2 linked regions of the Caenorhabditis elegans genome follow. The protein of the gene in region 2 purifies or fractionates together with the protein of the main gene of each other region. This does not show direct contact. Each region holds a gene or a part of one and is shown on either strand. Other genes may lie near its edges.

The links. Proteins that work in one complex are often made in the same cells at the same time.
Region 1: the proteins of nsph-4.2 (region 2) and lbp-6 fractionate together in Caenorhabditis elegans (co-fractionation; one large-scale study listed by BioGRID). This does not show direct contact.

The regions. Positions count from the first base shown.
Region 1 is NC_003279.8:6,727,796-6,732,400, reverse strand, and holds lbp-6 (Fatty acid-binding protein homolog 6), read left to right. Parts: upstream 1-3,024; 5' UTR 3,025-3,034; coding exon 3,035-3,241; intron 3,242-3,795; coding exon 3,796-3,996; 3' UTR 3,997-4,105; downstream 4,106-4,605. Other genes in the region: lbp-5 (Fatty acid-binding protein homolog 5), read left to right, coding at 132-341, 871-1,071; ant-1.2 (ADP/ATP translocase), read left to right, coding at 1,442-2,344; mec-6 (Mechanosensory abnormality protein 6), read right to left, coding at 4,360-4,518.
Region 2 is NC_003282.8:5,215,717-5,221,364, forward strand, and holds nsph-4.2 (Nematode Specific Peptide family), read left to right. Parts: upstream 1-3,079; 5' UTR 3,080-3,115; coding exon 3,116-3,392; intron 3,393-3,496; coding exon 3,497-3,996; intron 3,997-4,044; coding exon 4,045-4,413; 3' UTR 4,414-4,453; downstream 4,454-5,648.

The DNA of each region.
Region 1 (4,605 bases), on a different chromosome or scaffold from region 2:
TCATAGGCAATTTTCTAAAAGCAGAAATAAATCATCCAGAATTTCTTAATACTTATTCGTTTTTCATTTAATTCCCTTTATTATTATTCTGGTACTTCTTTATCAAAATTGTAAATTTCCAAATTTTCAGAATGTCTGCTGAACAATTTGTGGGTCGTTGGAAGCTTGTCGAATCCGAGAATTTCGAGGATTACCTGAAAGAAGTTGGGGTTGGTCTTCTTCTTCGTAAAGCCGCGTGTGCTGCAAAACCAACTTTAGAGATCAAAGTGAATGGAAACAAGTGGCATGTCAATCAACTTAGCACCTTCAAGAACACCACATTGGAGTTCACTCTGGGAGTGGTAAGTGAAATTTTGAAAAAAGGAAACGAGAATAGAACTCAACAACTATATGGCTTTTTCGTTAGTTATTTTCTTTCCCATTTAAAAACTTTCAAATGCCTTTCTCGAAACTCTAGCAAACACTGATAAGACTCAAACTAGTGGGTCAAAGTGCAGGAAGGTACACGTGGTTTTCAGTGTAAACAAAAAAATGAGAATAAAGAACAACTGAACTTTGTATCCATTTGAACACTACACACAACAAACGGGTGTTCTATTAACATAGATACACTTTGTGGCATGAAGAAATAATCTAATGTTTATGTCTTTCAGAATAGGTCTATGGAAAATTCAATTGCGAACTCTAAACGAACATTTGAAATCAAAAAAAGAATCATATTAAATCTAACAAAATATTTTTTTTTCGAATTAGTTACGATCTTTAAATGTGTCGGCTACATGAAAAACAACTCCCGGTTTTCATTCCATTAAAGTTCAGTTTTTAAATTGACTGTTATAATTTACCATTTAAAAAAATAGTGTTTTTTAGGAATTCGACGAGACAACACCAGACGGTCGTCAATTCAAGTCAACCATCACAATTGAAGATGGAAAAGTAGTTCATGTTCAAAAAAGGATTAAGGATTCAGATCATGATTCTGTAATCACTCGTTGGTTTGAAGGAGAAAAGCTCATCACAACTCTCCAATCTGGATCAGTTATCTCTCGTCGTGCCTATATTCGTGAATAGATTATTTTGAATATTGTTCTTGTTTTGTTCGGTCTTTGATGCAATAAATAGCGAAAAATAGTGTTTTTGTTTACGCAGAGTGACGTTTTAAAGGACCAGAAACCCTTTTCTTTTCTCTGTCTCTGTTAAAAAAGGCCTTGTTTATTTTCCGTAAAATTTTTCATTAGTTTCAACAATTTTTAAAGAAACACTTTTGTTTTAGATTTTTCTTTTTTTTTAAATTAATTTTATTCTTTATATTGATTAGACTTTCATGACCAAAATTTTGAGAAGAGTCTAGTGAGCTCCTTCCTACTCGCATTTGAAGAAAGTTTTATTATCAGCATTCAGGAAATATAATCTCTGAAAAAAAACATTCCAGAAGGACAAAATGACCACAAAGGAAGGATTTGATTATCGAAAGTTTCTTGTTGATCTCGCCTCCGGAGGCACTGCTGCAGCAATCTCAAAAACTGCCGTTGCTCCAATTGAACGTGTAAAGCTTCTACTTCAAGTCAGTGATGTCTCTGAAACAGTAACTGCCGATAAAAAATATAAAGGAATTATGGATGTTCTTGCTAGAGTGCCAAAAGAACAAGGATATGCAGCATTTTGGAGAGGAAACCTTGCAAATGTGCTTCGATATTTTCCAACGCAAGCGCTGAATTTTGCATTCAAAGACACTTATAAGAAGATGTTTCAAGAAGGAATTGACAAGAATAAAGAATTCTGGAAATTCTTTGCTGGAAATCTCGCTTCTGGTGGAGCAGCTGGTGCAACATCTCTATGCTTCGTGTACCCACTGGATTTTGTGCGTACTCGTCTTGGAGCCGATGTTGGAAAAGGAGTGGATAGAGAGTTTCAAGGTCTAACGGATTGTTTTGTGAAAATTGTGAAATCAGATGGACCAATTGGTCTTTATAGAGGATTTTTTGTTTCAGTACAAGGAATTATAATTTATCGTGCAGCATATTTCGGAATGTTTGATACTGCCAAAACATTGTACTCAACTGACGGGCAAAAACTCAATTTCTTTACGACATGGGCAATTGCTCAAGTTGGAACAGTTGGTTCTGGATATTTATCATATCCATGGGATACAGTACGTCGTCGAATGATGATGCAATCAGGGAGAAAGGATATTCTCTATAAAAACACTTTGGATTGTGTTAGAAAGATTGTGAAGAATGAAGGAATTACTGCATTATACAAAGGAGGTCTTTCAAATGTATTCCGAGCAACTGGAGGTGCTCTTGTGCTCACAATTTATGATGAGATTCAACATTTAATTTAATTACAGAATTAAAGTATGTATATGTTAATTTTGAAACAACATTGCCAATAAATTTTTTTGTTTAAAATGCATTTTTACTTTATTTTAAAAAAAAGAAGATTGTTTAAGTTTCACAATTTGAAAATGGGCTTCTATATATGTACAAGATACTAGTTTTTTACCTCAAAAAAAAATAAATTTAAAAAAAATTAAAACTTAGATATACTTTAATCAAAAACGATATTTTCCTCCTCAGAAATTTCAGAATTTTTTTGATAATATTTTTGTTTTTATTCGACTGAAAATTCCTCACTTTTCCTCTTTTCTATTTTTATTTTTCAAAAATGATGCAACGAATCAAAAAATGAATCATTCTTCAAAAAAAAACGAAACGAAAAATAGAGGAGACAGAAATAGAGAAAACGTTTTGAATCTCCGCCCACTCTTGCCCCCTATCATTCCATTTATCAGACCACCTAAATACGAATGATTTCCCAAGGCATTGCCATTCGTTTTCTTGTTGATTTGCAACTTTTCTTTTATTTCCATTTGCAAGTGATATGATAGTTCATCTTCTAAAATTAATTTTTAAAATAAGATTTTTTAACCATAATTTCAGACTAACGTTTTATTCAGACCTATTACATATCCGTTAATCTATTGAACTTTTTACCTGCTTTTCCAACTTCTTCTATTTACAGAACCATCACCATGTCTCAAGAATTCGTTGGACGCTGGAAGCTCATTCACTCAGAGAACTTCGAGGAGTACATGAAGGAGGTTGGAGTTGGATTGATCACTCGTAAGGCTGCTGCCAACTTGAAGCCAACTTTGGAAATCAAGGTCGAAGGAGATTTGTGGTATTCCAACCAATACTCCACATTCAAGAACACCACTCTTTCTTTCAAGTTGGGACAGGTAAGAAAGTGCAAAGTTTTTTACTTACAAAAGACAAAAATAATGTTATCAAAAAAAATGTGGGTTTTCTGATTCCAAATTTGCGACAAAAAAGTTACATAAAAATAAAGAAACGCACTACAAATTTATGAATAAAAATTGTTACTTCCATATTCACAGACAAAAAGTCTTAAAATTCCAGGTGATAACATTTCAAACCATAAATCATAAAATGATCATTGATTTCTTGTTATAAGACTTTGATAAACAATATGTATTTCCCATAGTTTTCGTGTTTTTTCATGCACGAATAATATTTTTTTAAAGCCATGAGAAACAATATCTGATTTCAAAATGCACGTTCGTTGATATCGGCAATTGTGGACAAAGTTTAGCGACTTTCTGCCCACAATTTGCTGTGAGCAAATTCCTGCCAACATTTTATCCTATCCATTTGAGCTTTTGGTTTGAGCAAGTTATCCCCAAATTCCAAGTAATTGTATCCAATAAAAATTGTTTCAACCCTGAAATTGAACTAGCATTCTTCAGACTTATATTTAATGTTTTTATCCCAGGAATTCGATGAGACCACTCCAGATGGCCGTACCGTCAAGTCAGTTGTCAACTTCGAGAACGGAAAATTCATTCACATTCAAAAGAAGATCAAGGACTCTGATAAGGAATCAATTATCACCCGTTGGCTCGAAGGAGACAAGCTTATCACTACTCTTGAATCTGGATCCGTTGTTTCTCGCCGCGAGTACGTTCGCGAATAGATTCTCAATTCCCAACATGAGCTTTGTTCTTGTCTTCCTGTGATATTTAATAGTAAATATTGAAATTTAAAGTATTACAATTATTTCTTTATGGCAATAAATGAGAAATATATTATCAGACTTCGAATCAAGACACTAAGAATGACTAATTGTGACGAGAAATTAGTTAATTTGAAAGCTGCTAAATTCTCATAAATCGACTTTCCTCTAAAACGCTGGAAGGCTATTGAAAAGGGGTGGAGGCGTGGCGCCCCCGTTACGCCTCGACAAGTTTATAAATAAATCTAGATACAATGTCTACAACACATCTGTTTCTAGATCATATTCATCGGTTTATTTTTTAAATAAGCTCTAAAAGTTTGACTATGTAATATATGAATGCGTAAGATCACAATGAAGAAGTCTTCCAAATGAACTTCCAATTAACATTTGTTCATCAGTGAATACAACTGATGAACTCGCCGAAATAGTTGCTCCATCGTTTGCATACGGTTCAGTTGTTACCCAAGAGTTGCCTTCTTCCTGAAACAAATGCGATTTTTGATTTTTTGACGCTTTTTCGCATTGATTAGTATTTGAATGAATTGATAAAAAACGTGGAAACAGAGT
Region 2 (5,648 bases):
AAATCTACAATCTAATCAGTCAGTCTTGAAAATACTATTTGAATGGATTTTGAAAACATTCATATTTGTATATTTTCAAAAATTTCATGTTTCAAGATAACGAAAAGTATAACGAAAAATTTGAAAGGTTGTTTATTCTGTCCTTAAGCGTACTTTCAAAAAAAATTGAATAAAAATCTTTTCTCTGTTTCACTATTGCTAAATAATTGTTGACAAAACGTTTTGAAATCATTGGTGGAGTCTGTTCCAATTCGATACAAAAAATCACGGGCACATTCACAAGGTCAAACAGTTTTGACTAATTTTTTTCGGAAACAAAAAAAAACTAAACATTGGTTTACTGAAATTCGCAGAACATTTGCATAATAAATAAAAGCAATCTTCGGCAACTGCTTGTTAAACGTTGGTTGAGCATGTGCTCAGATCCTGAGTTGAACCACTTTTGTAATAACTTTTGGTAACAGTTTTTTTTCATAAAATAAATAACCACCGTAATCCTAATCCTATGTTTTTAAAAATTGTTGCAAAAGGTCAAAGAATACAAAAATCAGGTGAAGAAAAAAACGGCTTTTGAAAAGAGTGAGAGAAAATAGGCTGAAAGGTGGGAGGTGAAAAGAAAACTAGAAATGATTCAAGTGAGAAGCAAATTTGTTAAACTCTACTCATCACCTTGTCTCTCTTTCTCTCGTAATACAAGCTGTTGATAATGATAATGATGATGATGAACATATACACAAAATCGAGAAAAAAACTGTGAGAATTCATTGAGAATTGAAGAGAAGAAAAAGACAACAAGTTACACAGTTGAAAAGAAGAATAGAAACTGATAAAAGTAAATTAGAAAAAGGTTCGAGAAGATGAGGAATTGAAGGTCAAGGGCACTCCCTTTTTTTACCTTTTGAAGTTCCTTGTTCGAAAATTTGGTCATTTCATTTTATGGTTCTTTTGTGTTTTATGTTCGGTATTCCCAGCAGATGACAGTAAGCATTCAGCGAACTTTAACATATGATATGGGGTTAAATGACCTTCGTCCATTCCTCAAGCTTAATGTTTCTAAAAATACACGGAGTACTTCAAAATTGTACATAAACCACTGGAATAAAAAAAAGAGTTATATCGTTTTTTTTTCCTACAGATATGATTATTCTGATTACTCATAGAAATAATTTTAAAAAAAGTTCTTTGAAAAATTTGCTTCTGTTCCCTAAATGATTAGACAAACTTTGAAAAAAAATTGACTGTTTCCAAATATTATCATAAAAGCGTTTTATTATAAACATGTTTTCATTAGACTTGGCGTAATCTCTTGGCATTTTGAAAAAAATCAATTTTTAAATTTTCAAGGTTTAGTTGCAAAACGACAGAAATTCTGCAAAAACTTGTGTTGTGATCATAAGTACAAGTGAGTAGATGCAGTAGATACAATTCTCAAATTTCAGGCAACTTTCCGACTTTCTATAGTTGAAATTTAAAAAAAAACATGAACGATTTTATTCTCAAAGCTAAAAATTGTATAAAATTTCGTGTAATATTGGTGAAATTCTAAAACTTGTTATAATAACAAGCTGAAACATGGAACAATAACTTAAAATTCTTTCGGAATGGGAACTTCTTCTGTTCCAGAGACTTTTTTTTTGCTTTTAGAATTTTTATTGTTGTGATTCATGAAAAAACCTTGATACGTGAGGCTAAATGTTCGCGTGCTGGCAAAATTTGAATGAACAAAAATGAAGAAAAACATTTTGAAAAAGTTCATTTTAAAATTGAATTATACGTGACTTCCTGATAACCTTTCCAAAAAAGGTTAGATCTTATCTTCTGTCTATAAAAGGACTCGAAATTGTCATATTTGCTCATATTGGAACAATACTTCGATCGCCTTCGGGCCAATGAGCAGCAAAGTGACATGCAGATAGTCCAACGGGCTCATCATATTTCCGTCGTTTTGTCGCGTTTATACGATGTGCTTGAATCGATTAAAAAGATTCGAACTGAACGTTTCTTCATATTTTAACACCTTTTATATACACCAAAAGGAGGAGGTTACGTTAAAATTAATTATTTTTTATCCAAATAAACTGTACATTTTTGATGAACTCAATGAACTATCAGACGCTAAACCAACACGTAAAACACGCTTGTAATATTATTAGGGAGTGCAAGCCTAATAGGGAGCCCATACTAATATAATGAATACGGCATCAAAAATTGAAGTTACAGTGTGTCAAATTAATCAAATGGCTGACAACTTTCTAGCGCTTTTTGATAAAGACAATAAGTTCCTGGAAAAGTATATGGTAACTAGAAAACGTTTGCTCTCCAATTTAAATAAGAAGTCGATCATGTTAATGTCCAGAAATTTGCATCAAATTTCAAGAAAATAGAAAACTGTATTTATTTATACAAATAATGGAAAATTTTTATTTACATTAAAAAAGCTAAAAATATACAAATTAAAAGAGGTCTCAAAAAGCAATCGGGAAATTGTCCATTTTTATCAACATTTCCATTTAAACGAGTATAGTTTTAGATTTTTGTGATCCGAGCTTAATCAATACAAAGCAAACGAAAATAGTCAAAGAAGTACAATAAATCAATAAAAAAACTTGCAAAAATGACATATGAATTTTGATGTGAATCATTCTTTAGAATAATACAGCACTGTAACAAGCCGAAGTAAGTAAGCTCTGTAAGTGAGTTTTTAAAAAGTTATGGAATAAGGATACTGAATAACTTATTGCTTTGGACCAAAAATATATATACTTTGCTGAGAAAGTGGAGAAAAATTTGGCGGCTCCTGAGCGAAGCCGCATCCCTATCTTAATTAGCAGTTGCGTCTGTAACCCTAGATTTTTGCTTCATGAGTTAATTCTTGAAACTATTTTTTCAACTCAACAAAATGTTTTTAAACACGTGAAACCGCGCTAAATACAAAAACAGAAGAACACTTTTTTTTTTAAATTTCAGAACATCTAAAGTGCCAAAATTTTAATGTGACCCCCTGGTAACCTCTCCCTAATGAAAAAGAATCTCCCTATAAAAGGAGTCGAAATTGCCATATTTGCTCATATTGGAACAATACTTCGATCGCCTTCAATCATCGTAAACAACATCGATGGCGCCGAAGCCGAATCCGCCACCAAAAGAAGACACATGGGCTTTCCAGCCGATTGGTTCACCGTTCCCGCCGAGTCCTGTCAAATGTATGGGAGAGCAGAACATGTATGTTGCTCTCTGGTACAAACATGGTAAACCAATTCATGGACGTTCCTGGAACAACGGAGGAGTGGTTGAATGCTCATTCCCATACAAGCAGGCAGAGTTGACGACCAAGCAACAGCTCGAGGGACAAATTCAGGTGCTCCAGTATGTCGGAGATCACAACAACCAAGGTGAGCTTGATGGCTTTAGATAAGGATGTTTGGTTAACTTGACTGAACTGGTTAACCAAATTGAAAGATTGAACCAATTGGGCTAAAGAGAATAAACATTTCAGGATTCTGGTATGAATGGATCAAATACAAGGATCGTATTGAGAAGATCGACGACAAACATCAACTTGTTCGCTGTGGAGATTCGTTCCCAATCTTCTGGAAGAGAAAGGAAGGCAATCTTCTTGGATACGTTGACAATAAGACGGAGGAAGGATGGTTCTCGTTCAATGGCAAGGTGATCAAACAAGTCGGTCCACAGTTGAATGAAATGTACATCATCACTCGCAACTGCATCGGAGGACCACCACACTGCGAATGCGAGAACTGTCCTAAACCACCACCACCACCACCAATCCCACCACCGGGCCCACCACCACCACGTGTCATACACGACGAATGGATCGATATCCGAGAGGGAGATCCATGGCCTACTCGCAAGCTTGTTCAAGCTTTGGATAAGTCTTTGGATACTCTTCCAGGAGTCAGTGCCGATCAATATGTTGCCTTGTGGTACATGCAGGGTGAACCTGTTATGGGTCGTGTCTGGAATGAGGGAGGAAAGGTTTGTGGATCTTATGAATGACGGAAATTCTAATTTTGGAATATTTAGGTTGCTGCCAACTTCTCTTGGTTCAACAACGAATACTGCAAGAACGTTGGATCCATTCAATTGCTTGTTCGTCTTGGACCACACGTCGTTGGATACGAGTATGGATGGATTCCATTCCCAGAAGCTGCCAACTTTGATGCTGGAAAGATCTGGAAGCCAGTTCACGTTAACAACCACAAGGGAGACATCTCAGTTGGAGTCGTTAACCTTCCAGGCGGAAAACAGATCCTTGCCAAGGTTGATGTTCGCAACGAGTCGTACGGATATGGTTACCAAGGAAAGGAACACTCAGCTCGTGGACCAGCTTGTGCCTCCAGTGTCACAGTTCTTTGCCGCAAGGCATTGCCAGGATACACCCTCGACGGATAGAAAGAGCACTTCTCAGAGTTTGAATAAATAGTTTTGAAAGAAATTGAGTTTTGATAAAAATACATTAAAAAAATTAAACAAGAGAACGAAGTCTTACTGTGGAATTAAAAATAATCTGATGTCAAGTTACTTGAATTCCGGTTTGCCTTCAGTTTGTATTCTCTTAAAACCATTTGAAAATTGGAAAATTGGAATTTACCAAATATGGAAGAAATTGACTTAATATGATAAATTAATGAACAACGACGGGGTGCAAATTATTGGCAACAAGCAACATTATTTAGCTTTTTTGTAAAGTATTTATTTTTTTTTAAAATACGATTAGTTGATCGTGTGAGAAATGAAATTCCAATACAACACATACACATAATCATACTGAGCAATCAATCAAAAAACAGTAATAAGCAATGCATAATAATCAATTGACATGTAAAGTGTATCCTTATCACCTGAGATTAGTGAAAAGGAACGATACAAGAAAAAAGTTGCAATAGTAAACGGTAGATGAAGCTCTGCAAATTTCAGTCAATAACGATAGTCGATAATGGTAAGATAAGCATATTTCTGAAGCCAATTTAAATTAATTCCGTTAGGTTTCATTAAATTATTTATTGAGAAAATTCATTAGACGTTTTCTTCAAAATTAGCTGAAAAAATATGAGTTCCCTTGACATCAAGTTAATAAAGAAAATGTGATCTTATTTGGAGTAATTAAGTTTCTTATTTCTTGATTAATTTCAACAAACCTGCGCATCCAACAATTTTTTATGAGAATCTGCTAATTCACCGACAGCTCATTCTCATTTTGATTCCCATTCCAAATAAAATTCAAATAATTTTCCCCAACTTTTTATCTAACTTTAGCAATTTAAATACACCAATCAGAAAAGTTGCCCACAAGGTTTGACATTTTTCGCCGAGTAACTTTTAAATGTTTATCCCCAGGTTACCCAATTCCGAGACCTCTGAAAAAGTCTCTTCCAATTAAGCATATCCAAAGATTTTTATAAGTTTTTCAATTGTCAAAATTTTTATAACTCGGCGAAGATTGACGAGTGATCTAGCTTTTAGCTTGAAACAAATATGTGAACGTCCAGCACCTGACACAAGACAAAGTATTAATCCAAACAAAGATAGTAATTTTAATGGTTTTATTAACAAGTAAATAAAAGGCATTTCAGAGTATGAAGAGTTAGTTCGATAGGATTCTGTTCACTCCTTCTTCTCGTCATCCT